Macaca fascicularis: one gene and its partners. The protein of the gene in region 1 purifies or fractionates together with the protein of each later gene. This does not show direct contact. Links are inferred from orthologs where the notes say so. Each region holds a gene or a part of one and is shown in the gene's direction. Other genes may lie near its edges.

Region 1 (8,166 bases):
GCCTTTTCTCCCTTCTGGATCGTATTTGCTATTTCGATCATTTTTTTTAAAAAAAACAAAACACCGCAATGAATTGTATTCAAGATTCTTCTATATTTCAGAGTAAGTTAAAACAAGATAAAGTGACCAAAGCCATTTGAAAGATTCACTAACTTGCTCCAACCTAGGTGCACAAGGTACCTGGTTCTTCAAATTTGGCTTTAATGAAAATACTTCTCCAGAATTCTGGGGATTTAAGGAAAATTATGCCAACCAACAAGGGCTTTATTATTTTATGTAATATTTTGCAAAAACGTGGGTATTTCTATCTGAAGATAAAAATCCTCAGCAAAATCCACATTGCACTGTCCTTCAAAGATTAAACTAGTTAAGACGCTATTAAGTCAAGTCAGCAAGTATCTCCATGTAATGAATTCGTTTTGCTCCTAATTTTCCCCTATAATTATACTGGGAGAGCTGGGAAATATGTCGATGTAAATTTCTCAACCACAAAGATGCAAAGTTATACTTTGGGGGAAAAAACCTTGGGTTAAATCCTTACATACTTTAGCTTTTCATTAACTTACCAATGTAGTTTTATTGGAGGCCATTTTTTATTGCAGACTTGAAGAACTATTACTAGAAAAATGCATGACAGTTAAGAGAAGTTTGCACGACACAAAAAAGGTAACTAAATACAAGTTCTGTTTGGATTCCAACCCCCAAGTAGGGAGCGCACATTTCAAACGTTGATACAAATCCAGAGTAGATTTGCGCTCCTACCTACATTGCTTATGATGCACGTAAGTACGTGTTCTAAACATGTGAGTCTAGAAAGACTTTACTGGGGATCTTGGTACCTAAGGCAGCTTCACATGGCTTAACATAGGGGACAAATATCTTTTCTAATCTAAATCCCATTTGTAATCAAGTCCATGTTCCATTTTTAAAGGACAATCCTTTCGGTTTAAAACCATGCACGATTACCCAAACAACTCACAACTGTAAACCCCTGTGAATCTTCTCTGTTCTGCAATCCTAAGTTTGTTTCTGCTCAGAAACCCTCTCTTTTTCCAATCAGCAGTTAACTAACTAAAGGAAAAAACTTAACGATGCTTCAACCCCGTTTCGTGACACTTTGAAGACGCAATCACCTTTTGCACACACCCGCTCCCCCTCCGCCTCCGACCCTCTCCGCTGGAGCTCTGCGTCCCGAGGCCTAAGCGCAGCTGCCCGCCCCCACCCGGGAGCGCGGGCCTCGTGGTCAGCGCATCCGCAGGGAGAAACAAAGGCCGCGGCGCGGGGGCTCAAGGGCACTGCGCCACACGGCACGCGCCTACCCCCCGCGGCGGCCACGTTAACGGGACGGCCGCCGCAACCTCGGGACAGTCGGCCGCGCGCCGCCAGGCCTCGCGGACACGGGACCACGCGCCGCCCTCCCGGAGGCCCAAGTCTCGACCCAGCCCCGCGTGGCGGCTGGGGGAGGGGGCGCCTCCGCCGGAACGCTGGTGGGGGAGGGGAGGGAAAATGCGCTTTGTCTCGAAATAGGGCGACCGTCGCCACAGCTCCCTACCCCCTCGAGGACCGAACAGTCCCCCCACTAACTGCCGGCGCCGGCCCCGAGCCAGGTCAGCCGCGAGGCCACCGCCCGACCCTCTCCACTCCTTCCCGCAGCTCCCGGCGCGGTGTCCGGCAAGGAAGGGAGGGGAGCGGAGAAGCGGGCCCCCGGGGCGCGTGCAGCATCTGATGCACCACCACCGAGCGAGGGCTAGAGAGAAGGAAAACCACCGACTTCACCGCCTCTGAGCTGCTCCGGGTCGCGGGTCTGCAGCGTCTCCGGCCTTGCGCGCCTACAGCTCGAGCCACATCCGAGGGGTGAGGGAGCCGGGAGCTGTGCGCGGGGCCGCCGGGGGGGGGAGGGGTGGCACCGCCCACGCCGGGCGGCCACGAAGGGCGGGGCAGCGGGCGCGCGCCCGGCGGGGGGGAGGGGCCGCGCGCCGCACCCGCTGGGAATTGGGGCCCTAGGGGGAGGGCGGCTGCGAAGACCGCGGCACTTACCGTTCGCCCCGTGGCGCCTGGTGGTCCCCAAGGGGAGGGAGGGGGGAGGAGGGGCGAGGACGGTAACCGGAGTCTCCTCAGCGGTGGCTTTTCTGCTTTGCAGCCTCAGTGCTGGCGCCAAAACCGGACTCCGCCCACTTCCTCGCCCCTGCGGTGCGAGGGTGCGGAATCCTCCAAACGCTTGGGGAGAGAGAGTTGGGAGCTTAAAAACTAGTACCCCTTTGGGACCACTTTCAGCAGAGACCCCTCCTGTACCCCAGGGGTCAGCTGCATAGACGCGGGTCAGGGTTAGGTCAGTGTGGCGTGAACGATAATTTGACTAGAAGTTGATTCGGGTGTTTCCGGAAGGGGCCGAGTCAATCCGCCGAGTTGGGACACGAAAAACGAAAAGGGAAGGCTCATATTATACTACGATTTTTCTGGCGGGGGTTATCAAAGGCGTAGCTGCAGGGACCACCTCCCAGGTTGAGAGGGCTGGAACTCCGGGCTCCGGATTAAGCTCCTCCCGTCGGCGTTAATTTCAAACTGCGCGACCGTTTCTCACCTGCCTTGCGCCAAGGCCGGGGGCGGGACCCTATTCCGAGAGGTAGTAACTCGCGGGACTCGAGCCTTCCGCAATTCACTGAGCGCATTTACGGAAGTAACGTCGGGCACTGTCGCTGGCCACAGGAGGGGGAGGAGTACGCATTTGGCGTAAGGAGGGGCGTAGAGCCTTCCCGCCATTGGCGGCGGTTAGGGCGTTTACGCAACGGCCTGACGTAGAGGAAGACGCGTTAGTGGGGGGGAAGGTTCTAGAAAAGCGGCGGCAGCGGCTCTAGCGGCAGTAGCAGCAGCGCCGGGTCCCGTGCGGAGGTACTCCTAGCGGTGTTGTTTCTCGAGGAGAGGCAGTTCTCACTACAGCGCCAGGACGAGTCCGGTTCGTGTTCGTCCGCGGAGATCTCTCTCATCTCGCTCGGCTGCGGGAAATCGGGCTGAAGCGACTGAGTCCGCGATGGAGGTAACGGGTTTGAAATCAATGAGTTATTGGAAAGGGCATGGCGAGGCCGTTGGCCCCCTTGTGGAAGTCGGCCGGCCGCCTCCGTGGGAGAGCGGCAGGAAATCGGACCGCTTCAGTAGCAGTGGGGCTTGAGGTTTATGAACGGGGTCTTGACCGGAGGCCTGAGCGTACAAACAAGCTTCCCCACCCTCGGCCTCCCGGCGCCATTTCCCTTCACTGGGGGTGGGGGATGGGGAGCTTTCACATGGCGGACGCTGCCCCGCTGGAGTGAAAGTGGGGCGCGGAGGCGGGAATTCTTATTCCCTTTTTAAAGCACGATGCTTTGGGGGCCACGGCGTCTCCGCGGCGAGTGTTTCGGCGGGCAGCGGGTACCCGTGAGCGAGGCTGCGGAGCTTCCCCTCCCCCTCTCTCCCGGGAACCGGATTTGGCGGCCGCCATTTTCATGGCTCGCCTTCCTCTCAGCGTTTTTCTTTTAATTCTCTTATTCTTTTAGTGTGCTTTCTCTGTCAAGGCATAGAAGTGGTTAACTATTTTTCTTTCTTCTCGGGCTCTTTTCATATCGTTTCGAGGTGGATTTGGAGTGTTTTGTGAGCTTGGATCTTTAGAGTCCTGCGCACCTCATTAAAGGCGCTCAGCCTTCCCCTCGATGAAATGGCGCCATTGCGTTCGGAAGCCACACCGAAGAGCGGGCGGGGGGGTGCTCCGGGTTTGCGGGCCCGGTTTCAGAGAAGATACCACCACCCAGGGCGTCGGGCCGGGTTTAATGCGAGCTATAGGACAAAGAAACCGTTTTGTAGTTTTCCTGTTTTTTAAATTTATTTGAGTAACGGATATATTTGGGTCTGCAGTCACTAAAACGGCAGATGAACAGCAGCAAAAATAAACACTTTGGAAGCCATCGGCCACGAGGGGCAGGGACGAGGATGGTTTTTCTGGGCGGGGGAGGGATATTCGCGTCAGAAGCCTTTACTGTTCTTAAGGATTCCGCTTAAGTTGTAGAGCCGACTCGTATTTTAAGTAATGTTTTTCCTGAGAAGTTTAATCCTTACGGGACAGTTCCATGGACCATTATAGATGATTAGTTAGAAATTACGAGGAAAGCGAAATAACGATTTTATCCTTAGTTGTACTTCGGTTAAAACATGGCTTCAGAGGCTCTTTCCTGTAATGCGTGTGTATTTTTGTGCAAAATTGTTTTGGGCCTGGGCCGCTCTGTATTTGAACTTTGTTACTTTTCTCATTTATGTTTGCAATCTTGGTTGAACATTACATTGATAAGCATAAGGTCTCAAGCGAAGGGGGTCTACCTGGTTATTTTCTTTGACCCTAAGCACGTTTATAAAATAACATTGTTTAAAATCGATAGTGGACATCGGGTAAGTTTGGAAAAATTGTGAGGTAAGTAATGAGTTTTTGCTTTTTGTTAGTGATCTGTAAGACTTGTTATAAATGTACATTATCGGTAATTTCAGTTTAGAGACACCTATGTGCTGACGACAATTAAGAAAAAACTAATTGAGAAAATGAAAATATCTATTTTGGCAAGTAACCATTTCAAGACTGCGTTGTGTCTCATAGGAAGTAGTTTAATCATTTCGGTTAATGTTTTTTTATTTTTTATTTTTACCAGTCCTGAAAACAATTACAGGAAAAAATCCGAACTGGCATTTACCACTGTTTTTTTTTAGCAGTTGGGAGCATGTGAATGGAGGGAGAGAGCTCTGTAGAACTGGGCTGAGAGCAGCAATTCTTCTTGCTAGGAACAAAAAATAATTCTTCATTCAAAATTACTTGTGACTTTTTAGTGTGCATTATGCATTCGTAGTAGTTGGTCCTGGATATCACTTCCTCTCGTTTAATTTTTTTTTTTAACGTAGTTACCTTTTAAGACAGGTTTACTTAACATTCTTAACTGCCCAAAATACAGGGTTGTATAATACGACATATTTGCTTGTTTGCAGGTATTAAAGATTTCAACTCTGAGGTTTTTCCTATTGAGTTAGAAAATTGTTTCGTGCCGTGTCGCTTGCCACATGGCCAATCAAGTTCAGTAAGCTTCAGCTTTCAGTAATAGTTAGCTTAGAGATTATGCCAGGTGAATGTATTTTATTGTACATAAGGTTAAGCTGAGTAATTCATATTCTGTATTGTCATATCCTGTATAGACAGTGTCCACCAAAAACCTGTTAAAACTTTTAAGCTTTGAGTGCTGCTGGTCATAAAAATGAATTTGTCCTGGTTTTAAGTAATTTTTAAGGTTATTGCTAATGCATATCATGATTTTAAATATTTTTGTCAGAGTCATAGGGAGAAACAGTATTTTAAAAAGTTTTTTTTTGGCTAATATACTTAGAATCACCACCAGAGGGGGCAGTTAAGGGAAAATGTTACTGAATCGTGAAATAAAAACTTTGGGTCATAACCATCGAACCAAAAGTTATTTTCTGATGTTTATAAATAGAAATCTGGGTTTTTAGGTTATAGGGTTGAAATTTTTGGTAAAGATTTAGTAATCTTTTGATAACCACGGTCTACATTTGTTCATTTCTCCTTAGAAATTTTTTAAATTAAGTAATAATACATTTGTTTAAGATAATTTAATGTTGAGTAAATTTAGATCAAGCATTAATGACTTTGAAACTTGTGTAGATCAGCTGAGGCAATTTTTTTGGTGTAACACAACTAATATGCAGTTTAACATATGGTTTAAATTTGATGTAAGTTTTTTTTTTCCCCCCCAGAAAACTTTAGAAACTGTTCCTTTGGAGAGGAAAAAGGTACTCTGCCAGCAGGTCACCTCATATTTAAGAATTTAATTTCCTGCATACAAAGAGGAAAATGTAAATAAAAATTGAAATGGTATTTTCCTTTGCAGAGAGAAAAGGAACAGTTCCGTAAGCTCTTTATTGGTGGCTTAAGCTTTGAAACCACAGAAGAAAGTTTGAGGAACTATTACGAACAATGGGGAAAGCTTACAGACTGTGTGGTACGTAAGTTACTGAATTGTTACTGTATGTTAGTATCGTAGCTGTTTAAGTGAATCATGGAGGAAGTAACTATATCAGCATAGTAAATTCTATTATAATGACTGTTTACTTATAAGTTATAATGAGATTAAATGCTAAAGTTTCCTCTTTGGTTTGAAAGGTAATGAGGGATCCTGCAAGCAAAAGATCAAGAGGATTTGGTTTTGTAACTTTCTCATCCATGGCTGAGGTTGATGCTGCCATGGCTGCAAGACCTCATTCAATTGATGGGAGAGTAGTTGAGCCAAAACGTGCTGTAGCAAGAGAGGTAAGCAAACCATGACTGTCTTGTGCAATTAACATAAAGAATGCTGCCTTGCTGAACATCGGAAAGTATCTCTGAATTTAGTTTTAACTCAAGATTTTATTAAAGCTCTGTTGGGTTTTTGGACCATTTTCTGAAGCTAACTTATTTGTCAAAAGCTAGGTCCCTAAAAGCTGTTGTTGTAGATCTGGTAGTTTTAAGGTCGATACAAGCCAAGTATGGTACAAAGGTCGGCTACTTTGAATCATGCTTGTGTTTTTTTCTGTCGGGATGACTTTTACCCCACCAATATTTTAGGAATCTGGAAAACCAGGGGCTCATGTAACTGTGAAGAAGCTGTTTGTTGGCGGAATTAAAGAAGATACTGAGGAACATCACCTTAGAGATTACTTTGAGGAATATGGAAAAATTGATACCATTGAGATAATTACTGATAGACAGTCTGGAAAGAAAAGAGGCTTTGGCTTTGTTACTTTTGATGACCATGATCCTGTGGATAAAATCGTATGTAAGTGTCTAACCACAAATGTACTGTTCTTACCATGTATTCAATTTTGTGTATGTTAACATCTAATTTTATTGAAAGGTAAACTTTTAAAGTTGTTTAATGTTGTTGATTTAATTTAAAAGGAGTTTGAATTTTTCATTGCAGTGCAGAAATACCATACCATCAATGGTCATAATGCAGAAGTAAGAAAGGCTTTGTCTAGACAAGAAATGCAAGAAGTTCAGAGTTCTAGGAGTGGAAGAGGAGGTAATTTCAATTCTGTTTCTTCTTTATTTTTATTCATGTAAGGGCTTGCTTCTAACTGGGGCATTTATTGTAGGCAACTTCGGCTTCGGGGATTCGCGTGGTGGCGGTGGAAATTTCGGACCAGGACCAGGAAGTAACTTCAGAGGAGGATCTGGTAAGTTCAAATTCTATGTGTTTAAAGGATGAGTGTGCTTTTATTTTAAATATGATTAGGTTTTCATTAGTAGAATCAGGAAATCAACGTAAATCAAAACCTTTCCCTAAGACTTCAAATAGATAGTATCCTGGCAAGTTCCTGTGACTTGGCCAGACAAGAAGTTTAATAGGGTTGTGTTAATAAGTTATCTGGATTGATAATGTAAAATGAAGTGTCATCAGAAAAGCTTTGGCCCCATGAAGTGTCATTCTTATGTATAAATGAAATGGAATCTCTAAAATTGAGACTTGTTCAGTTAAGAGTTCAAAATTTAGGTGGTAATGAGATTTAATTATATGCTTTCATGTTTTGTGAATAAACTAGTAGCACTAGCGTGTGCTTTTCTGAGGTTCTTAATTATTGTGCTGAGGTATTAAGAGAACTGAAAAAATGAGTATTAGTAATAATGGTGAACAGCTTATAGTAAATGTAATCTTTTTTGCTCCCTAACAGATGGATATGGCAGTGGACGTGGATTTGGGGATGGCTATAATGGGTATGGAGGAGGGCCTGGAGGTCAGTTTCCTCTATATTTTGGTTTGTTTATGTGACTAATACTTAACCATATTGTATATTTAGTTCATTTATATTTTGAGTTTTTAAACATTTTATATTGCCCCTTATAAAGGGCTTAGGTGATAGTGGTCCAGTTATTTCTTTTATAAGTAATTTGACGTCTTAGTAGTTACAGCCTAAGGAATACAGTGCTATTTAAAATGAAAATTTAAAGATAATCACAGTATTCCATCTTAAGCAAAATAATTGGATCTAGATATGTTTTTGTACTGTGCTTTCTGGAAAAGTGCAGAAGACTGGATTTAACTGAGTAAAATCTAAGGGGGGAGAATACGTAGGAGAAAAATGTAAAATATGTCTAAACCCTTAACTAGA
Region 2 (7,419 bases), on another chromosome or scaffold:
CGTCGTGCAGGCCTTGTGGCTAGAGCAAAAAGAAATTAAAGAATGTAAAGGGAGAGCGCCTTTGGCTAGTATAGCGAGGTGAGGCGTCTCGAAGGAGGGAGGCTTTGAGCTGATCACCTCGGCCGACGCGAAGGAAAAGCAGAGCCTGCAGAAGCGGAAGGGATTAGTTAGCGCCTAACGGCAGAGACTGCGCGGGAGCTGAAAGCAGGCCATGTGACTGGAGTGTGGCGAGAAGGCCTTCAAAGGAGAATGGGTTTTAGGGTGGCAAGAATGGAAACAGAAACCGTATAGGACAGTATTTAGCCGGGTGTGCAGTAGTGGTGGCAGGAGAGATGGGGAGAAACGAATGGATAGGGGACGTATTTTGAAGGAGAAATGCGCAGTGGTGGAAGGTAGTAGATCTGGAGTCAGGCTACGTTTTCTGAAATTCTTGATTTTTTTTTTTTTTTTTTTTTGGACGGAGTCTCTCTCTGTCGCCAGGCTGGAGTGCAGTGGCGCGATCGCGGCCCACTGCAACCTCCGTCTCCCGGGTTCAAGTGATTCTCCTGCCTCAGCCTCCCTCAGTAGCTGGGACTACAGGCGCGCGCCACCACGCCCAGCTAATTTTTGTATTTTTAGTAGAAACGGGGTTTCATCATGTTGGCCAGGATGATCTCGGTATCTTGACCTCGTGATCCGACTGCCTTGGCCTCCCAAAGTGTTAGGATTCCAGGCGTGAGCCACAGCGCCTGCCCGAATTATTGTTCTTCTAATTAGTAGCTCTGTCTTTCTGAGGCAAGATATTCTTTGTCTCAGTTTCCTTCTCTAAAGGGATAGTGGTCTTACCTATACAAGATTACTAAGGATTAAGTAAAATAGTTCCATTTAGATGATCTATTATGGATATTGTTTGACACACAGTAAGGGTTCTACAAAGGATAACTATGGAGAATCTTCAGGGAGTGGACGACTCTCAACTTGTGCCAGGAGTAACTTGGTGGATGTTGTGCCGTTTATGGAAACCGAAATGTAGGGTAGGGTGTTGGAACAGATTTGAGGGGAAATTTAAAATTCTGTTTTGACTGAGATGCCAAGATAGCATGCAGATGGGTGAGTTAGTGCCACAGTTGGATGCATTTGATTTTGGACTTTAAAGAGAAACGACGGGCCGGGAGCTGTGGCTAACGCCTGTAATCCCAGCACTTTGGGAGGCTGAGGCGGGCGGATCAAGAGGTTAGGAGATCCAGACAACCCCGGCTAACACGGTGAAACCCCGTGTATACTAAAAATATAAAAAATTAGCTGGTCGTGGTGGCGGGCGCCTGTAGTCCCGGCTACTGGGGAGGCTGAGGCAGGAGAATCGCTTGAACCCTGGAGGCGGAGGTTGCAGTGAGCCGAGATCTCGCCACTACAGTCTGCGACTGAATGAGACTCTGTCTCAAAAAAAGAAAAAAAAAGAGAGAAAAGACTAAACCTTCAATATATATATTTGAGCATCGATAGCATGTAGTTGGTATTGAAAATTATGGGGTTGTATGAGACTAGAGAGACAGGAGTTTGATAGTATAATCCTTCATATTACTCATTCACCATGAGGGCTTGTTGTTTAATTATTCACGAGGTGGAATTTCCAGATAAACATCTTCAGCTTTCCACGGCTTTTTTGTTAATAGAACATTCCCTTCGCCACATGGATGACCAGAGTTAGACTGTGACCACTCAAACGTAACAAATTTATGCCAGGGTACAGTTTGATGCATTAGACGTAGGTGCTAACAAAATGCATCAAACGTGAAACGTGAAGCAGACGGTTTAATGCTGGTAATAGGATTCGTTTCACAGCAAACTAAATTCATAGCACATTTTATTTTCTCTGGTTATAAATGTGGTCTCAGATATCTTCCTTACAGTTTAGACTCAGCATTTAGACTGATAGGCTCCATATCTTCTGGTATTTTATAGACTGAGACAGAGAGGGAGTGCCAAGACTGATTGCTGCATTTCAAGAAAACTTTAGTATCCTCAAATTTTAATAAATAATAAAGCCTAAAGGAGAGATTTGGTATAGAACATTTAAGTTAATAATAGGTCACTGTCTTCAGTACTGAGTGCTTAATGTATTTGAACTTTATTATATTATTAATACATGACCACAACTTTGGAAACAGTGTGCTAATGGTCATAATCAGAATGAGAATAAAACATTGAGTTTATATGCAAATGATAGCTGTTTCTTAATATATAGTTGTTTGAATTTGAATTTAGGCCTCCACTGTGGGTGACTTGGAAGTTACTTAACTTTCTAAGTCTTAGTTTAGGAAGGAAGGAAGTTTAGGAGGGAAGCTTCCTGAAAAGACAATGATAGTACCCACCATATCTGTGTGCCGTTGTTGTGAGGATGAACTGAGTTAAATAATAAGGTGCCCGTTGTAGAATGTAGGGCCTTATATAAAATACTTTGTAACAAAAGATAAAAATCACTCTTAGTCCCCAAAGATAACCATTTTAGGGGGTATTTCTTTCCAGTCTTGCTCATGTGTATGTATTTTTCATGTAGTTCAAATCATACCGTTTTGTATCCTTTTTCTTACAACATGTAAAAGTTTCAATTATGTCATTAAAATTTATATGTGGGAAGTCTTAGCAACATGATAGAATATCCTATGTTTAACCTAGATTCAGTGATCCAGATAATTGGTTCCTCCCAGTTTTTGCTATTATAAATTGTGTTTTTAACTGACTTTTGTTTTCTTAGATCTGAAGAAGACACTTGAATCATGGGTGACGTTAAAAATTTTCTGTATGCCTGGTGTGGCAAAAGGAAGATGACCCCGTCCTATGAAATTAGAGCGGTGGGGAACAAAAACAGGCAGAAATTCATGTGTGAGGTACTAAAGAATACAGTTTGCATTTATGTGATTTATGAGGTTCATTTTGGGGTTAAAAGAATGTTTTCTGTTTGGAGATGTTAATGTGTTGCACATTAGGAAACAACAGTTTATTATTGTGACTTGACTCCTGTTCTAAATCATTTTCAAGTCAGGATTGCTTTTAAAGCAATCTGACAGGTAAATTATTCTAATTAGAGCCTATATCTTCCTCAGCACCAGTAGTCGGGATGGGAAAAGTTGGATCAACTGTTTGCAGTTTTACAAGCACCTTTAGAAAGCAGAGCAATTCTTGATTGCTTCAAATCAAAGTGCTTAAATACAACTGAAGAGCTTGTTCGTGCATATTACAGAATCAGATTGTAATGTGAACCTTCTGTTATATGAGAAAAAAATAGCTGAACCTCTTAACATTGTTTTTGTGTTATCACTATACAACACAATTCAAGCTTTTTCTTTCAGTAGCTCATGAATTCTCTTAGGTGTATTATTTTCAGTGTATTTCTAGAGTATATTTCCTAAAGTTAGCTGTTTTGTTTTTTGTTTCTTTTTTTTTAAGGTTCAGGTGGAAGGCTATAATTACACTGGCATGGGAAATTCCACCAATAAAAAAGATGCACAAAGTAATGCTGCCAGAGACTTTGTTAACTATTTGGTTCGAATAAATGAAATAAAGAGTGAAGAAGTTCCAGCTTTTGGGGTAAGTACCTATGGCCAAGCAGTTGAGATGCGTGTTGTAAAGTTGTACAAAGTCAATATGCGTAAGAGACTCAGGATAATAATTTTTCACTGTTTACGTATATATCGTGTTTCTTAACGAAATTTGGTATCTTGTTTTCTCTCAGGACTGGACAAAATTTCTGAAGATGTGGATTGCATCCTTATTATGTACCTGTCTTAGGGGCTTGAGAAATTCCATTAATCTTTATGTCTTATGGTTTTATTTGTTTCATGTATTCATACACCAGAAATTTCAGAGTCTGTTATGTTCCATTCATTTCCAGTGATAATACTTTAAATAGAAAAATCAGTAATATTTTAGACATGTTTGCTCCCATTGACACTCCCTCCACCCCCCACCCCAGGTAAGCAATGAGTCCTTGCTCTGTCACCCAGGCTAGAATGCAGTGACAACCATAGCTCACTGCAGCCTCAAATTCTTGGGCTCAAGCAATCCTTCATCCTTACCCCTCTTAGTAGCTGGACTACAGGTTCATGCCATCACTTCTGGCAAGTTGTTTGTTTTTTGAGGCAGTCTTGCTCTGTTGCCCAGGCTGGAGTGATCTTGGCTCACTGCAACCTCCACCTTCTGGGTTCAAGCGATTCTCTCCTGCCTCAGCCTCCAAGTAGCTGGGATTACAGGCATGCTCCATGGTGCCCCCCTATTTTTTGTATTTTTAGTAGAGATGGGGTCTCACCATGTTGGCCAGGCTGGTCTTGAACTCCTGACCTCCAGTGATCCATCCACCCGCTTCGGTCTTCCAAAGTGCTGGGATCACAGGCATGAGCCACTGCACCTGGCTGACATATCCTTATATAACAAAATAGTATTTTATGCAATAGAGTATTTTTGTGTTTTTTATATCATGATTATTTTAAGTATGTAAGTATGCAAGAGATACCTCTGTCTAGTAGGTTGTTTTTTGGGGATTTTGTTTTGTTTTTCTGCCTTTTTTGTTTTTGAGGCTGGAGTGCAGTGACTATTCATAGGCTCCGTCAAACTCTTGGCCTCAAGCCATCCTCCCACCTCAGCTCTACCCCAGTAGCTGGGACTGTGCATATGTGCCGCTACACTAGGCTTTACTAGTTTTTGAGAAATAAGCTTTATTTCTTTTTCTTTTATTTTTTTAAGATGGAGTCTCGCTCTGTTACCTAGGGTGGAATGCAGTGGCACAATCTGGGCTCACCGCAACCTCCACCTTCCGTGTTCAAGCAATTATTCTGCCTCAGTCTCCTGAGTAGCTGGGATTAACAGGTGTGAGTCACCACACCCAGCTTATTATTATTATTATTTTTTTTTTTTTTTTTTTTTTTTTTGAGACAAAGTCTTGCTCTTGTTCCCTAAGCTGGAGTGCAGTGGTGGAATCTCGACTCACTGCAATCTCTGCCTCCCGGGTTCAAGCGATTCTCCTGCCTCAGCCTCCCAAGTCGCTGGGATAACAGATACCTGCCAACATGCCCAGCTAATTTTATATTTTTAGTAGAGTCGGGGTTTTACCATTTTGGCCAGGCTGGTCTCAAACTCCTGACCTTGGCCTCCCAAAGTGCTGGGATTATAGGCATGAACCACCACGCCCTTCCTACGCCCAGCTAATTTTTGTATTTTTAGTAGAGATAGATTTTCACCATGCTGGCCAGGCTTGTCTTGAACTCCTGACCTTAAGTAATCCGCCCCCTTCAGCCTCCCAAAGTGCTGGGATTACAGGCGTGAGCCACCACACCCGGCCTGTCTATGCCAGTTTTAACAGGGTCCTGTTACTGAATTTTTGTATACTGACTTGTTATAAAAGAAATCTTTGCCGGGCGTGGTGGCTCAAGCCTGTAATTCCAGCACTTTGGGAGGCCAAGGGCGGATCACGAGGTCAGGAGATCATGACCATCCTGGCTAACACAGTGAAACCCCGTCTCTACTAAAAAAAATACAAAAAACTAGCCGGGCGAGGTGGCGGGCACCTGTAGTCCCAGCTACTCGGGAGACGGAAGCAGGAGAATGGCGTGAACCTGGGACACGGTGCTTGCAGTGAGCCCAGATCGCGCCACTGCACTCCAGCCTGGGCGACAGAGCGAGACTCCGTCTCAAAATAAAAAAGAAAAAGAAATCTTATTTTCTTCCATTCCTTTGCCTAACGATAGACTTACTTTTTGGTAGATTAACTGCTGGATAATTATAATATCTTACAGTCTTTAATTTCATTGGTTTGCCTCTCTGTAAAATGAAGGGATTGGGCAAGATGATCTTGAAAATGCCTTCTGGTTGAGAAAACAGTTTTACATGTTTGAAGTCCTTGAAGTCTCTATTCATTCTTTATCTTTTACGCTCTTCTCTATAGTCTTGTAGATCTGCTGGTGACAAATTCTCTTTATTTTCTTTTCTGAAAATACTGTTATTTTACCTTCTTTAAGAATACTTTCACCGGATATAGAATTCTAGGGTGCCAGACTTTTTCCCCCTTTTAGTATGTAAGTGGGGAAAAAAAAAGTTTTTCTTCTTCTCTCATACCCCAATAATCAACACAGAAGATTTCTGTGACTAAATGAGGGGCAGGGGTGGGAGGCTTTTTCCACACACACCAAGCCAGCAATCAGTTCTGCAGCAGACAGTAGCTGGGTCTCCTCCAGTTCACCTCTGACACTACCTGGAGATAGCGTCAGATCCCACAGGGTGAAGGCTCAGTCCCACAAGACTCCAGTCCCTTCAGACACCACCTGCAAGTCTGGGCCTCTAGAACTTCTGCCTAACTAGCTTCAAGTTATGGTTTTCATGACTGCCTCTTTGGGGTCAGTTAATTTGCTAGTGTGGCTTACAGAACTCAGGAAAACCTGCATTTATAAATTATAAATAAACCAGTTTATTATAAAGGATACTACAAAATACAGTTGAAGAGATACATAGGGCAAGATATGGAGGAGGTGACAGGGAGCTCCCATGCCCTGCCTCGAACACCATTCTTCAGGAACCTCCATGTATTCTGCTATTTGGAAGCCCTCCAAATCCTGTCCTTTGGTTTTTATGGAAACTTCATTATTCAGTATTGATTAAATCGTTTGCCAATGGTGACTTGACCTTCAGCCCTTCTCCCCTCACCGGAGGTTGGTAGGTGGAACTGAAAGTTCTAGCCCTCTAATCTTTTCTTGGTCTTTCCAGTGACCATCCCTCACACCGAAGCTACCTAGGGCCTGCCTGCTGGCAGTCAACTCATTAGCATGCAAAAAGTCTCCACTTAGGAGATTATAAGGATTTAGGAGTTCTATGCCAGGGAAAGGGGATTGAAGACCAAATACCTTTTTTTTTTTTTTTTTTTTTGAGATGGAGTTTCACTCTTGCTGCCCAGGCTGGAGTGCAATGGCATGATTTTGGCTCACCGCCACCTTTGCCTCTGAGTTCAAGCAATTCTCCTACCTCAGGCAGGAGTATCTGGGATTACAGGCATGCGCCACCATGCCCGGCTAATTTTGTATTTTTAATAGTGATGGGGTTTCTCCGTCTTGGTCAGGCTGGTCTCCAACTCCCAATCTCAGGTTATCTGCCTGCCTCAGCCTCCCAGAATGCTGGGATTACAGGCGTGAGCCACTGCGCCTGGCCAGAGACCAGATATGCTTTAAAGATAATATGACATTGTCTACTTCCTGTTTTCTGTAAGAAGTCAGCTAAAATCGAATCATTCTCTCCTATATGTAATGTGGTGGTCTCTGTTTTTAATATCTTTTCCTGTTATTTTTGGTTTTTAGTAGTTTGACTTATGTTGTGACTGGGCATGAGTTTTTTTTGTATGTGCGTGCTTAACTTGTTCAAGGTTTGTTGAGATTCTTGAATCCATAGATATATGTATTC
Region 3 (7,419 bases), on another chromosome or scaffold:
TTCCAGAAGTGAATCATAACTACTGTTAGAGCATAAGCATGCATGATTGTGCTGTGTAGATCAGTTTTGTTGAAAGTTTAGATTGTTATGTTTGTCAATTATAATTTAATGTTTTAGTTTTTATATGAAATGTTTAAATGTATACCTTTTTAAAGACTTGAAGTTCCAATAACTTAAAGCATTGAAATATAAAATGAGGTAAAAGGTGTTTTGAATTTAGTAAAACTGTTATTTAATGCTTAAAACTTAATTGAATTCTTGTATAATTCTCAACATTAAGTTGCATAGATATGTGTTCTTAAGTTGTTGAATTCTTAATGCATCCTGCGTTCAGCAAGTTTTTTTTTTTTTAATTTATACTGTACCATGGGTGTGTTAAGAATAGTTATACTTCGTAATAATGGAACTTCATATTATTGCAATGCATATTTAAAGAGTACTTGTTGAAAGCATACCATTCACCTAAAGTTAAAAGTTCTGGTTTATTTAAAGCTATAAGAAGAATCATTTCTGGGCTTGTGATGTTAATATTGCCCCCCTACTGGGGTTATTTGTCCTTGGGTTGAAGGGTTGGAAATCGTGCCAAATGGGATAACATTGCCGGTGGACTTCCAGGGGAGGAGTACGGGGGAGGCCTTCGTGCAGTTTGCTTCACAGGAAATAGCTGAAAAGGCTCTAAAGAAACACAAGGAAAGAATAGGGCACAGGTGGGGATGGATGGTTGGTTGGATATGTCACTTTTCTTATGGTAAACAATTAAATCCATATTCTCTCTGCTTAAAAGAAGAAATTAATGTTTTGTAGTCCTAGGTAATTGATGTTTTGCCATGATTTCCAAACTTTTCTTGTGTCAGTCCCATGTTACACGCAAACTAAATTTTAGGTTTAAAATTTGTCCCTAGTTAATTGGTCTACTTGACAATTTTGTGAGTCTTATTAACCCCAATCAATAGAGTTGAGAGACTATGGCTTTAAAAAATTAATGCAAACCTGGCTTTAGCTGTAATAACACCCACCTAGAGTAAATTAATATTACCATAAGAAAATGTGATACTTTCTGATCTTGTTTTTAAAGTTGAAATGCAACAAACTTTTTCTTGCTGTATATAAATATTCTGCATAGTATTAATAAGCATAGCTTTCAAGAAATTGTCACAAAAGGTTTTATTCTCTTTGCTTGTGACTATTTTTCATTGAAGCATGCGCTTACCTATGCTGATTCTTACTAAAAGCATAGGCTGGGGTATTTATTGGCGAAAGGAAATGTGTAGTGTGGGCTAGACTGTTGGTGGAGGCTGGCTTTTTAGCCCACTTGCTATACATGCTGCCAATGGATTTAAGACTTGAAATGTTGAAAGTTGAGTGGAATTATTTCCCTCCTAGAACGTTTATTTACAGTACTCCTCTCTACCCCTAAGGTTGGGCTCTGCCTCAGGAGGAGTGAGTGTTTTTTTTCTGTAAAGTTTACATTGTCTTACTATTTATTGAGTGAATTTCTGGTCATTGCCTATGCAAATATAAGAAATCTGGCTTTAAATATTAGTCAGTTTCATGGCTATGACTAGATTGTATTTCTTGTGTAACTAAATACCTGTATAAAATGAACTAATGTTGTCTCTCCCCTCCCTACCCCTTCCTTATGAACGATGCTTTAGGTATATTGAGATCTTTAAGAGCAGTAGAGCTGAAGTTAGAACTCATTATGATCCACCACGAAAGCTTATGGCCATGCAGCGGCCAGGTCCCTATGACAGACCTGGGGCTGGCAGAGGGTATAACAGCATTGGCAGAGGAGCTGGCTTTGAGAGGATGAGGCGCGGTGCTTACGGTGGAGGTACGTGAGGATTCCCAGGGTTTGGCAAGTAGTCTGTTCCTTTGTTTAGGTGTTTTGTTTGATGGATTGTACTTTGTCTTTCAGGCTATGGAGGCTATGACGATTACAATGGCTATAATGATGGCTATGGATTTGGGTCAGATAGATTTGGAAGAGGTAAGGTAAGAATTGAATTTCTCAGTTGAAGGATGCTTACACTCTTGTCCATCTAGACCTCAATTACTGTTTTTCAGGAATGTCTGATCACAGATATGGGGATGGTGGCTCTACTTTCCAGAGCACAACAGGACACTGTGTACACATGCGTGGATTACCTTACAGAGCTACTGAGAATGACATTTATAATGTAAGTGTAGGATGAACTCACAAGTCTTATTTCAGTATGGCAGTAAAAGTCTGAGCCTTACTCTATAAATGTGAGCACTGTGTTAGAAATTGTAGTTTTATTTTGTAACATTAGAAAGTTGATTTAATTCTTTGAAATGCCTTGTGTTGTAGTTTTTTTCACCACTCAATCCTGTGAGAGTACACATTGAAATTGGTCCTGATGGCAGAGTAACTGGTGAAGCAGATGTCGAGTTTGCAACTCATGAAGATGCCGTGGCAGCTATGTCAAAAGACAAAGCAAATATGCGTAAGTGTGATTGAGCGTTTGTGGGCTCTTTACAGGTGATTGTGTGACTAACATTTACAATAGGGAAATGGAAAAATAAGGATATATGAGAAGTTTCCTCTCCAGTAATAGATTAATTCTTGGGGGATGGGGGGCAGTGGGTTGAAGAAGGTTTGGGTTTTAAAAATTAGTCTAACGGATTTGTGATACGCACATCTTGAAGTTTATATCCTTAATTGACAACATAGATGAATATGTAAAGGCTAGATATTGGAGTTAAAGTAGATCACCTAAGAGAAGTAGCTAGAATTTTCTTTGCCAAGGTATTTGAAGTTCACAGATCTGCTTGTTTAAAAACTTTATAAAAGTGCTTATCCTGTTGTGTTTCACCAACAAACATTTTCAAACTTTTTTTTTCTCATTTCAGAACACAGATATGTAGAACTCTTCTTGAATTCTACAGCAGGAGCAAGCGGTGGTGCTTACGGTAGCCAAATGCTAGGAGGCATGGGTTTGTGTAAATATCACTTTAGTGTCTTTTTTTTAAGCTAACCTTGTATGCCTTTTCTCTCATTTCAGAACACAGATATGTAGAACTCTTCTTGAATTCTACAGCAGGAGCAAGCGGTGGTGCTTATGGTAGCCAAATGATGGGAGGCATGGGCTTGTGTAAATATCGTTAGTTTTTTTAAAAACCAAAACGTTTATATATGTATAAGTCAATTATAAGTTGTTAATCTATTTAATAAGTTTAGCATAACAAACTTAGGCAAAGAAAGCAGTTTCTTGATATTTGAATTTTGTATCTGGCTTACTTAAATCTTTGTTATGAAGTTCCTTAGGATAGATAATTCAAATTAGATTTAAGTACTCTTGGGGGAGGGGACTACGGAGTGAAACTACTTAAATTTTCTGAGTATAAAGTTTAAATAGCAAAATAGGATTAAGATAAATGTGGGCATAATTAGGTGTATTGACGTGCCTTTGATATATCTAAGGGGGAACCCCACTAAATCTAGTCAGGCAGTTTCATAAGATCTTCACAAAATGCCTCTACTTAGGGAATCTTGTGGGTTTTAGTCCTGCTGATGTATATACCGTTAGCACTTCGGTTTATAAATATTTGAGTAGCTCAGATGATGGATAGAAGGGTAGCCCGGTTATAGACAGTAGGCAGAAGGAGGCAGAGGGTTATAGTAATATAAGATCAAGACTGGAAAATATAGATATAGAATTACAATCCCGGTACCACCAGGTACCACATTATGTAAGGAACAAGGTTCTAAAGTTTTCTTAACTTAACAGCAAACCAGTCCAGTTACGGTGGCCCAGCCAGCCAGCAGCTGAGTGGAGGTTACGGAGGCGGCTATGGTGGCCAGAGCAGCATGAGTGGATATGGTAAGCCTGTTTTTTTAAATATACTTAGAATTAAGTTTTAGGCAGGTTTCTTTAGTTGGGAAGGTGCAGGCTCCTTTTTGGTGAAATTGGGTTATTAAATGTATGCTTTCAATCCAAATGTAACTTTTTACTAGCTTAATTTTCAGAAACAATCATTGGGAGGGGGAAGTGTTCTGTGAATAAAAAACTAGTCATTGCAACTTTGGAATACTGTCGAGCCAGAAAATATCTGCCTCCATTTATTAAAACATTAAATAAAGTTGTTCGCTTTTTTGTCTTTTGGTTAGCAGTACATCAATTTTAGATGGAGGGAGAATTTGGAATAGTAGAATGGTGGTTGGGTTCAGGACCGTATTTATTAGTTAACCTAGGATTGGTTTTATTTATTTTTTTTCAATTGGTCTAAAGAATGGTGATTTTGGTATTATAGTCTTACCCTACAAAATCCTTTTGCAGACCAAGTTTTACAGGAAAACTCCAGTGATTTTCAATCAAACATTGCATAGGTAAATATTTTCTCAAAAAATATAATTTAAATTCCCAATAGCAAATACTGATATGTTGTAATAATACTTTCTATAGCAGTCAATGGCTCTGACTTAACTCCATGGAGGCTGCCATTTGGGCACAGTGAGTTGCCTTTAGTCCACCTTGGTTGTCTCACTTCCTGCCCACCGTGAATAGGAAAAGCAAGAGACTTCCCCTGTGCTCCCTTTTCTCAAATGCCATTCGAGGGACACATTGTGAATGTTTATGGTAAATTTTTTTAAAAAATGCCTTGTTTAGCTTTAAAAATACGAAGTAATTTTGCAATTTTTGAAAAACACTAGTTTTCCTTTAAACTTAATTTTTCATGTTGATCCTGAAGAATCCGTTAAAATGGTAGCACAAGAGTCTGGCAAGTTGGTACTGCAGAGAAAAGGGGTTAATTGAGGCTTGTTTGGAGTCGGGATTCCCCTTTCCCAAACATGCGTCTCGCCACTTGGACAGCAGCCATTTGTACTCGTATACTTTTTAAACTTTTTCTTGGAATACTATATTTTATTTGACTGGTAGTCTGACATTACTCCTAACTTGTCAAATTGATCTCTTTGCAGGTAACCAAGGAGCAATGAACAGCAGCTACTACAGTAGTGGAAGCCGTGCATCTATGGGCGTGAACGGAATGGGAGGGATGTCTAGCATGTCCAGTATGAGTGGTGGATGGGGAATGTAATTGATCTGTCCTGATCACTGACTCTTGGTCAACTTTTTTTTTTTTTTTTTTTTAAGAAAAAAAAACTTCAGTTTAACAGTTTCTGCAATACAAGCTTGTGATTTATGCTTACTCTAAGTGGAAATCAGGATTGTTATGAAGACTTAAGGCCCAGTATTTTTGAATACAATACTCAATCTAGGATGTAAAAGTGAAGCTGAGTAAACTATAACTGTTAAACTTAAGTTCCAGCTTTTCTCAAGTTAGTTATAGGATGTACTTAAGCAGTAAGCGTATTTAGGTAAAAGCAGTTGAATTATGTTAAATGTTGCCCTTTGCCACGTTACATTGAACACTGTTTGGATGCATGTTGAAAGACATGCTTTTATTTTTTTGTAAAACTCAATATAGGAGCTATGTCTACAATTAAAAGTGAAACATTTTGGCATGTTCGTTAATTCTAGTTTCATTTAATAACCTGTAAGGCACGTAAGTTTAAGCTTTTTTTCTTTTTTTTTTTTTTTTTAAGTTAATGGGAAAATTTTGAGACGCAATACCAGTACTTTAGGATTTTGGTCTTGGTGTTTGTATGAAATTCTGAGGCCTTGATTTAAATCTTTCATTGTATTGTGATTTCCTTTTAGGTATATTGCGCTAAGTGAAACTTGTCAAATAAATCCTCCTTTTAAAAACTGCACTCTGTCTTGTCTGTGCTTCAGTGTCATGTGGACTGAGTCTCGGTGCTCTGTGCCCACCTGGGTACACATCTAGGGCCACATCTCTGGCTGTGGCAGAGAGGCTTGGCAGTTGAGGCTGTTGTGTAGATGTCTTCAGACTTCCCTCCAGTGCAACTGAAGGTAAACTCGTCTTTGGGGCCCTTGTGGAAGGGCTGTATGTCATTTGGCTGCACAGGACCTGATCTGAACTTGCCTATAACTTGTTAAGCACTTGCACAGAGCGAAGGGGGAGGTGCCAGTGCCCTCACTGCATGGCCTGCATGTCTATGAGGCCTTCATGCTTGGCTGGGAAGGTGCTGGAGGCAAGGGAGGTTATGATGAATACGTGGGTTTCTTCTAGCTCAGGGGTGGTGGGTTTTTGTTTTTGTTTTTTTTTTTGAGGCGCAGTTTTAGCCGTCTCAGGCTGGATTGCAGTGGCGTGATCTTGGCTCACCTGCAGCCTCCACCTTGCGGGCTGAAGCCATTCTCCTGCCTCAGCTTCCCAAGTAGCTGGGGTTACAGGTGCCGCCGCCACTCCAGGCTAATTTTTTTGTATTTTTAGTAGACAACGGGGTTTCACAATGTTGGCCAGTCTGATCTCCAACTCCTGACCTCATGTGATCTGCCCACCTCAGCCTCCCAAAGTACTGGGATTATAGGCTTGAGCCACTGTTCCCAGCCTTCACAGATGGTTTTTCAAATTGAGGTTTTGAACTTTCACATTTTTGGCTCATTCCTAAAAATCAATTCTACTTGGAAGCAGAATTACATGTAAATCTGGGTAGAGTGATAGTGATTGAGAGCTAATGTGACTAGTTTAAATGAACTCTAAATATATCCCCGTTTTGGTAGTTCAGAGCTCCAACATGATGCTAGGAAGTATTCAAGCTGCTTTAAAGTGTACCTGAGCGAGTTAGAAACGCCACACTTTGAGATGAATTCAGGAGTCCTTTGTTAGCCGGTGAACGAGAGACCGCTAAGGCACGAAATTCTCTCCAAAGAAGGGGCTAGATTTTCTTTAATACTTTGTTTAGAGAGGGGAGGGGGATTCTAGCTGCAGCAATCTTAACAGAAGAAAAACACAAAAAAGTTGAAAAGACAAACGGTTACAGGAAAACAGTTCCAGGTGCAGGGGCTTTAAATTCATCACAAGGTGATAGGCGTGGGGGCTCTGGCGTTACCTATGGGACAAATGGGGCTTTATGGTACCATCTCCGAGTAAATTGCTGGGAACTGCTTGCCTCAGCACCTTATTGGTTAATTGCACTCTGATATGCCGAGAGCTTGCACAAGTTAAGTCCTTGAGGAAGCGGGTGGGTGAGGAGCCCTTGATGTCTTGTAAATGAAGGAGCCAAATGGAGTCCGTCCGGCTTTCTCAGCTAAGGGAGAGTCTATTCATATTAAAACAAGGTTAGGTATCTAAGGGAGAGTCTATTCACATTAATAATACAAGGTTGGGTATTAGAAAAGCAGTCCTGAAAAGTCTGGTCCCAGAGTTCCTTCAGTAGATGCTGAGGGCCCGGCAGCTACTCATCCCATTAGATTCAAGTCCCTGATAATGAAATGAGAGTGTAAATGTGTCTGAGCTAGGCTGTCAGATGGGCTTGTGCCCTTTAAAGCAAAGTGTGGATAAGCTTTCTCTTGAGTTTGTTGGGGTAGGGCT
Region 4 (7,962 bases), on another chromosome or scaffold:
TGTTTTGAGACGGAGACTCGTTCTGTCACCCAGGCTGGAGTGCAGTGGCACGATCTCGGCTCACTGCAATCTCTGCCCCACCAGGTTCAAGCAATTCTTGTGCCTCAGTCTCCCAAGTAGCTGAGATTATAGGCATGTGCCACCATGCCCAGCTAATTTTTGTAGTTTTAGTAGAGACAGTTTCACTATGTTGGTCAGGTTGGTCTCAAACTCCTGACCTCACGTGATCCACCTGCCTCAGCCTCCCAAAGTGCTGGGATTACAGGCATGAGCCACCACACCCAGCCTATATAGTGTATTTTTTAACTCAAAACTTCCTACTGTAACAATAAAAAGGCAAAGGGAATGTGTAAACCAATTTCAAGTCCTTACTGAGCATGCACATTGGCAAAGAGTGCGTAATCCAAAGAAATTATGGCAAGCAAGCAAGCAAGCAGCAGTTTGGTAGTGAAAAATCATTCATGTCATTAGAATGATTTTCAGATTGTGACCCATAACCACACAAAATATGCGGCAGGAATGCCAAATTCAGTCAGGCAGTAAAACAAATTGAATTCAAGCAAGGAGTGAAGGAGATTACAGAATTCCATCTACCAAATCAGTTTGAAAGACCGAAAGGATAAAAATAGCCATGTAACTTGAACCTAGGAGGACCAAGGGAAGAACTCCATCAGAATTGTGGGAGCTTAGAGTCTTATTAATACAGCAATTATTTTTTTAAAAGGAGGGAGAGGGGTTGGGACTCACAGTGTCAGTGATAATGGGACTATAAAGTTTCAGGCCTGTTCAAAAAGTCTCCAGCCAATAAGCTAGTAACCACAGGTCTCCTGAAATGGTAACTCCAGTGTTAATTAGGTGACATAACCTCAATTTTCCAAAAACGATGTCTGTTTCCTTAAGTTATAGATATTTGTAACCTCACGAAGGTTCATAGTGTTTTAAGACCCTGGCCCTTGGGTAAAACCATATGGGCTCCAATTCTAGCTCTACCACTCAACTGTGTGACCTTGGGCAACTATTTTCACTTCTCTAGGACTTAGGCACTTCATCTATAAAATGAAGATACTTATTTTTCAGGGTTGTAAGAGTACAGTGTGTAGGTTATGCTACACACTATACTCAATTTGCTGACTCTTTACAACCCTGAAAAATAAATATGAGCCATTGTTATCACAGCATCCTTGTTTGGTTTTCCATCTCTTTTAATTGTGATAACACTGTCCTTTCTGCCTTCCACTCAGTACTTTTAGGGAGTGGGCCATTGTGGGTATGTGAGCACCATGTTCTTACTGCCCCACACTCGTCTTAGGCAGGTTTGAGGATGAATTAAAGCCTTAAAATGTCTTACATCCTACACACCGCAGATCTCATGGGAGAAAAAATTATACATCCTCCTACGTTGCTAACACCTCCCACCCTACCTCCAACAGACTTCCCAATGTCTGTACCACAAAGTTCAAAGTCTTTTGGCCAGACATTGAAGACTATCTACAATCTAGCTTCACCCACATTTCTAACATTATGCCATCTTCCTGACGCCTTGCACTGGAACTTGCACTGATTTTTTGTGTGTGTGGGAGGGTGTGGGACGGAGTCTCGCTCGGTCACCAAGGCTGGAGTGCAGTGGTGCGATCTCGGCTCACTACAAGCTCCACCTCCTGGGTCCACTCCATTCTCCTGCCTCAGCCTCCTGAGTAGCTGAGACTACAGGGGCAAGCCACCTACGCTCGGCTTTTTTTTTTTTTTTTTTTTTTTTTAGTAGAGATAGGATTTCACCGTGTTAGCCAGGATGAACTTGCACTGATCTCTTTCCCAGGCTTCCCCTTAACTCTTCGCGCAGAAATTCGGGTTTTTTTTTGTTGTTGTTGTTTTTGACACAAGGTCGCCCAGGCTGGAGCGCACTGGTGCAATCACGACTCACTGCAGCCTCAACCTCCAGGGCACAAACCATCCTCTTGCCCAGCCTCCCGAGTAGCTGGGACTACTCGGGAGTCCCATCTACTCCCGTGCGCTGCCATCACGCCCAGCTAATCTTTGTATTTTTTGTAAAGACAGCGCCTCACTATGTTGCCCAGGCTGGTCTCCAACCCTTAGGCTCAGGCGATCCTCCCGCCTCGGCCTCTCAAAGGCGTGAGCCACCGCGGCCGGCCTTTTTTGGAACTTAAAAAAAAGGCCATAATGTGTCATTAAGAACCTTAGTGGCATGACTGCAAAACCAAAATGTACTTATTAGGTGTCACTTGGAAGCGCAATTTTCAACAACGCAAAACTATAGAAAACAACCCAACGTCGGCCTCCACAGGCTAATCAGTCCCCGAGGCACTGACGGCGGGAGAGATGAAAATGCGAAGGCCAGAGGAGAAAGAGAGGAAGGATTTGCAGAGAGAACGGAAACGTGTACAGGAATTCACCCAAGAAACCCGGGTCCCGCGCGGCGCACCGGGACGAACCGCGCTGGGGGACGGCCAGCAGCTCCGGGCCAGAAGGAGGCGGACACCCAGCCCGAGAGCCGAAATCGGCCTCGGTGGACGTTTTCATCTTCGCGGCCCAGAAACACTTCTATTTTTCATTGCACAATGCAAACATGGTGGACCAGAAAATCCGCCCCGCGTCTGCCGGCCGAACCACGTGGCGCCCTTTCCGCGCCGTCGATGCCGAGCAAGGGCGGGGCCCTCACGGAATTTGTTCACGGTGGGGGCAGATCACTGGAGAACTTCTCCAGACCGCGACAGCACAGTTCCTTCTACACACTGGCAGAACTTTCATTGCCATCGCCCCGAGGCGGCAGAATGGTATGCCCCGAAAACTGGATGGTTCTACCGTAAGCAAGAAAGACTGCACACACGACAGCTCTTTACCTGGACCAGCCTCTGCTCTGTCTATCTCGCCCCCAACAGCTGGGCAGCCCACCACCGCGCAGGCGCGCTTCGTGCTGCCAGCGCCAGGCGAACCTGACTTTCCCGTCTCGCGAGAGTGGGGCCGGCCGCCTTCGCAGTTCTCGCTCCGCCCCCCACTTCTTGCTCGCTCCCTCCCATCCCCCCAAGCCAGTTGCTGTGCTGCGCAGCTCCCTAAGCGGTTGTCACCGCTGGAGACGGTTGAGAGAACCGTTGTGGTGAGCGCTACACGAGGCAAACAACTTCTCCCTTCTCTCGACTGGACCCCGCGAGCAGCAGAGTCGGCGTAACTATCGCCTGACAGGGTATCTGAAGTAAAAGGGGGTAGGTTGGGCTGGTGGTTTCGAGAGCGGAGTCGGGAGAAGGACGAAAGAGGCCGGGAGGGGCTGGGTTGGGGGTTAGTGCGGTGGTCGCCGCTCGGAGGCCGCCGCTTGGAAGCGGCGGGGTTGCGCCTCCCGGACCATCTCCCACTTCAAGGAGGGCAGCCTGCCGATGGGAGGACTTGCTCAGGTGGAACTCAGTGGACGACGCCGAGGCCCGAAGTAGGGGACATCCAGCATTTCCCCCTTTCCCTGCTGGCTTGGCCTCCGCCATTTTGGGTACAGTGGCGCGGCCACCTCGGCTTCCCGCCCTTCCCCGCTCTTTTTACTTTTTGTCTCCCAGCTTCCGAAAACTGATTCAGAAGGCCAGGGGAGGGGGTGGTCAAAGCTCCCTGGAAGGGATGAGGGTGGGTAGTGAAGCGAGCAGGGAAAGACCGGGCAGTTGGGTGGAGGGAGGATCGGGGTTGCCGGGCGCGCTCCCGATGGAAATGGCGCCGGATGGGCCTGGCCTCCCACCGTGGCCTCCCTTCCTCCGCAGTCTCGGCAGGGCTACCTGGGCTGACGGGACTGCGAGTGACTTCTGACGCAGATTCCCAAGATGAGAGAGGCTGGAGCTGGGGGAGGAAAGCCAATGGCGACGAAGGTGCTCAACTCTCAAATCCAGGACAAAGGAGGCAGACGGCCTCCTTTGTAATTCCGCCGCCCGGTGGCGAAGGGTTTTAAGCCAGGCTTGGCTGCTGGGGGGTGGGGGAAGGGGCGTACTCTCCCTAGCTCTCTGGTCTCTAGGGCAGCTAGATAAACGGAAAGTCTCCTGGGAGGAATAAAGGACGCTTAGCCGGCCCTTATATTCCAGATTTGGAACTTCGAAAAGAGTACGTACTGATTTTCCAAAGGGGTTTTTTTTTTTTTTCATGTTTAAACGTTAATAAGGACTTCGGGGGTGATTTTGTAAGCAGAAAAGTGGGTGATTTATCAAATAGGAATGTGAAATGGGCATGTTTCAAGTAGGTCGTCTGGGCCCAGTGAACTGTGATTGTTGCTTTTTGAACTTTGGGGGTGGGGGTGGGTGATGTAGCAATTGTTTTGCGTAGTTTGGCATCTATATTAGACTTTGTTTTTAAGTTTCACTTTTGGGAAACAGTTAAAACAACCCAGTGATGGTAGATGTGTATGTATGGGAATTGAGTTCCTTTCGATATTAAATCTTCCAAGAGTTGTATTTTGTGCAGTTTTTTTTTTCTTGGCATTAAGGCTCTAGAAGTAAAATACTTCAAAATACGGTTATGGCTTATTTTCTTTTGGTGTCTAGGCCTTTTTTTTTTTTTAAATGTAGGAGTATAATACACTGTAATCGTATTTTAAACAAGGGAATAAGCCTATTAAACAGAAAAATTGTAAACCCAGTCACGTGGTGGTGGTGTGATTCGGATGAGGGTCCTGAGAACTGGATCCGTAATTTTCATTGAAGACACAGTGCAAAAGGGACGGGAAAGGCCTGAGAGTAAGAATTTCTGATAATTCATGTAAAACTTTTTAAGAATATTGTTACCTACTTTTCCAGCTCTAAAAACAAAAACTTACTATTGTTGAAGATGTTCAGTGATGCTTTGTCAAGATTGCCAAGGAAAAGTTTACGAAAATCTTACCTTGAAACAGTAGCTTTGAGTGGCCCTTTGAAAAGATAGTCCAGACTGTCCTATAAAGTTATATATGCTGTAACAAATAGCTTTACTAATTGGATTGGACTACACACACACACCTTTTTTCTGTCCTCTTTTTCAGTTGTGCCATTATCTGGAAGTCCATCTTACTGTCTTTTTAAAATAATGTTATCTTTGATTTCGTTGTATTGGTAAACAACTGACTAAATTGCAGTAGATAAAAACATGGTTCATAGTAAACTAACATTTTAGAGACCGTACCTCCTTAAGCTGTTAGGGGCGTGTCTAGTGTTTTTGTTTTTTTAAAGAGCAAGCCCATTGGGAAGGAATGATGTACATTTTCTGTTAAACTTAGATCATCAGCACTTTTTCCAAAAAATAAAATTCATTCTCATTTCTTGACCACTGGGCTGCCATTTAGAAAGTTATTTATTGATGCATAAAGTCGTTTATGCATTACTTCAGAAGATAAGCTGTGCCTCCGTGTTAAGAGGATTCTCTATTTCATTTGTTCTCTAATGGATGTTTTTTCTTTAATGACTTCGGTATATAATTCACATACCATAAACTTCACCAATTTTAAATGTACATTTTAGTGGATTTTAGTACATTGACAGCGTTGTGTGACCGTCACTACAATTTAATTTTATAACATTTTTGTCACTCCAAAAAGATACCAATACCCTTTACTGGTCATTCCCCTTGCTGGCATTCTCCCTCCCGTCAAGCCTCAGACAATCATGAATACAAATAGAGTTACACAATATGTAGTCTTTTGTGACTGGCTTGTTTCACTTGGTGTAATGTTTAAAAAATTATATTTAAAGTTTCATAAAACTGACCAAAGCCATCCTCATATTTTAACTGTGGTATATTTTATTGTTACTAGCACCTAGAATTCTTAAAGCAGAGTAGTGATTAGCCATGACATTGTTGCAAAGAAAGGTTGAGGTGGATTATCCTGAATAATTAGTAAAGTGTTTTAAGTAGTTTCTGACAGCTTTATTAGAGCAGATTGCTTCTTCCTGTGCCCTTAGAGTTTTTCTTGTTTTTGTTTTGTAGGTAGGATTTTTAGTTTTGAAGGGGTTGGTAGAGTGAGGCTCTCATTATTGTATGTGCTTTGCATACAGGGTCACCCTGTAAAATAGATTAAGTGTTCCGAATTTGAATTTGGTTGGGTTTTACGCAATTAAAAGTTGTGTTAACAGTTTAGTGTTTATTATAGATAACATCGATAACACTTTTTTGTTTTCATTGGGTCTTATAATTGGTACAGACCGATCCAAAAATCCAATTGGCTTGCTGGTATTTTTTTCTTGTGAATTGGTAAGATTTATGAGTAAAGTAATTTTTTCTTTTTTTCTTTTTTTTTTTTTTTAAGCATTTGCTCCTTAAATGCAAACTACTAAGATCCTTTCACAACAGATTAAGGTTGAATTTGCAGAGTTCTTAAATTTTTCATGAATCAGTTAGGGTAGATCTGTACCACTTTTTCCGTTATGTGTAAATCACCCTTTATGGGAAACACTTATTTTTTAGGTTTGTGCTATTTAAAAAAAATAAAACGCTAGGCGTTTTCAAAACATCTCTGAACTTTTTTTTTTCAAACTGGGTTGGGGCCTCCTCCTCTCAGAGCTACTCTTCAGTATTAAACTTTTAAAAGCCTTCGCTGGCTTTGGGAAATAAAATTTTTAGCAATTCTCAGTTCTCTTCGAGGTTTGAATTGTTTTCTGTCCTTTAAGGTTCACATATTTCGTGTATGGTATATCTTGTTGGCTTTTGCAGGGCCCCTTAAAATCCAGTAACAGTTGCCATCAGTAAATGCTTAACATGAGGCAGACCAAGCACTTGAAGAGTGCAGTGAGGTATAGATACCACTGCTATAGTTTACAATTGAAGAGGCTCAGAGGTTAAGTGGTTTAGGTAACCAGTGAACGGCAGAATAGGGATTCATACTATTTATTTGTGTGCATATTTTAAATGCATGAATTCTAGGAAAAAAAAACTTTACCCTTTGCAGATGCCACCCCTAAGAGTTGCACCAACAAATAGATGACATGAAATTAAGCATTAGTGAATGCTGTTGATACGAAATATGATCTTCAAAAATAAAGGAATCAAATGAACAAATTGTTTTGTTTACAGGGGAGGAGGTGGTGAGGGAAAGGTTTGAAATACTCAGGTGAGTAGGATTCCTACAGCTGCATAGTGAAATTTGTAAGGTTCTGGTAAGTTTCTGCAGCTGAAGGACTTCTGCATTCGCCTCTTTTGTAAATACTATGTAATTTTAAACGGAAGGATGGTTGCCTCTGGGGAAGGGAACTGGGAACTGAAGTCATTTAGGAGGGGAAGGGGGGCTTCTAGATGTACCTTTTATGCTTTATTAAAAAGTATATTATGTATTTTTTAAAGTTTGTGTTTAAATCTATTTGATTAAAAAGCTGAGTAAACTGGTTTCTATACACTGTCCAGTGGCTTCAAAAACACAGGTACTGTTGGAAGGCATTCACTTTTGAGCAGCCTTTGACCTCAGTTTTAATCTAATTCAGTCATTTTATAATCTTACTCTTGGTGAGTTTAAACTAGATTTGGCTAAAATAGAGGTGAGAGTGTTGGCCCTTCAAAGACAGTTTGATGTGTTCAAAATTGTAGTGCATTTAAAAGGGTTAGACTTATGTGATGTTTTTCCAACATGAGTCAGTACTCATTGCATTTTTTACTTAGGTTTTTGATGTTAGTGGATACTGGTATTATATGCAACTTCTGAATAAGTTTTAAAGAATTTGAATAATCAGGTGAATAAAAACCTGAAAAGTGGTGAATCAAAAGTTGAGAGATAAGGAAAGGCTAGAGTTGGCATTCAGGGGACACAGTCAAATAGTTTGAAGACTCTGGTAGTAGAATTATGCAAGTTTTCTTAAAATTAGGCAATACATAATATTGATACTAAGAAATTCAGTACTTTTCCGTAGGAGGGCTCAGGTCTCATTGCTTTTTCCCTACCCCAAAATATGAAAGGTGGTCTACAGTTTTGTCATGGCATTGTCACGGGAGTTGGCGCCATGTTACATTTCCTCTTGTGGCACC

Evidence for each region.
Region 2: the proteins of HNRNPA2B1 (region 1) and DHX9 purify together in Homo sapiens (affinity purification with mass spectrometry; 4 studies listed by BioGRID and IntAct, with this or other methods). This does not show direct contact. The link is inferred for Macaca fascicularis from reciprocal best matches to the Homo sapiens genes HNRNPA2B1 and DHX9.
Region 3: the proteins of HNRNPA2B1 (region 1) and HNRNPH1 purify together in Homo sapiens (affinity purification with mass spectrometry; 5 studies listed by BioGRID and IntAct, with this or other methods). This does not show direct contact. The link is inferred for Macaca fascicularis from reciprocal best matches to the Homo sapiens genes HNRNPA2B1 and HNRNPH1.
Region 4: the proteins of HNRNPA2B1 (region 1) and HNRNPH3 fractionate together in Homo sapiens (co-fractionation; 3 studies listed by BioGRID and IntAct, with this or other methods). This does not show direct contact. The link is inferred for Macaca fascicularis from reciprocal best matches to the Homo sapiens genes HNRNPA2B1 and HNRNPH3.

The regions. Positions count from the first base shown.
Region 1 is NC_088377.1:104,103,581-104,111,746, forward strand, and holds the start of HNRNPA2B1 (heterogeneous nuclear ribonucleoproteins A2/B1), read left to right. Parts: upstream 1-2,859; 5' UTR 2,860-3,028; coding exon 3,029-3,034; intron 3,035-5,775; coding exon 5,776-5,811; intron 5,812-5,909; coding exon 5,910-6,020; intron 6,021-6,181; coding exon 6,182-6,328; intron 6,329-6,622; coding exon 6,623-6,833; intron 6,834-6,977; coding exon 6,978-7,079; intron 7,080-7,152; coding exon 7,153-7,233; intron 7,234-7,728; coding exon 7,729-7,791; intron 7,792-8,166. Other genes in the region: CBX3 (chromobox protein homolog 3), read right to left, coding at 567-590. UniProt on the Homo sapiens protein: Heterogeneous nuclear ribonucleoprotein (hnRNP) that associates with nascent pre-mRNAs, packaging them into hnRNP particles.
Region 2 is NC_088375.1:40,373,467-40,380,885, forward strand, and holds part of DHX9 (ATP-dependent RNA helicase A), read left to right. Parts: intron 1-2,734; 5' UTR 2,735-2,756; coding exon 2,757-2,867; intron 2,868-3,426; coding exon 3,427-3,567; intron 3,568-7,419. UniProt on the Homo sapiens protein: Multifunctional ATP-dependent nucleic acid helicase that unwinds DNA and RNA in a 3' to 5' direction and that plays important roles in many processes, such as DNA replication, transcriptional activation, post-transcriptional RNA regulation, mRNA translation and RNA-mediated gene silencing.
Region 3 is NC_088380.1:186,458,087-186,465,505, reverse strand, and holds the end of HNRNPH1 (heterogeneous nuclear ribonucleoprotein H), read left to right. Parts: intron 1-568; coding exon 569-707; intron 708-1,655; coding exon 1,656-1,834; intron 1,835-1,918; coding exon 1,919-1,990; intron 1,991-2,046; coding exon 2,047-2,180; intron 2,181-2,332; coding exon 2,333-2,468; intron 2,469-2,874; coding exon 2,875-2,934; coding exon of another isoform or gene 2,935-2,964; intron 2,965-3,026; coding exon 3,027-3,116; intron 3,117-3,752; coding exon 3,753-3,845; intron 3,846-4,301; coding exon of another isoform or gene 4,302-4,351; intron 4,352-4,942; coding exon 4,943-5,061; 3' UTR 5,062-5,737; downstream 5,738-7,419. UniProt on the Homo sapiens protein: This protein is a component of the heterogeneous nuclear ribonucleoprotein (hnRNP) complexes which provide the substrate for the processing events that pre-mRNAs undergo before becoming functional, translatable mRNAs in the cytoplasm.
Region 4 is NC_088383.1:78,231,472-78,239,433, reverse strand, and holds the start of HNRNPH3 (heterogeneous nuclear ribonucleoprotein H3), read left to right. Parts: upstream 1-3,046; 5' UTR 3,047-3,218; exon of another isoform or gene 3,219-4,086; intron 4,087-7,962. Other genes in the region: PBLD (phenazine biosynthesis-like domain-containing protein), read right to left, coding at 2,412-2,538.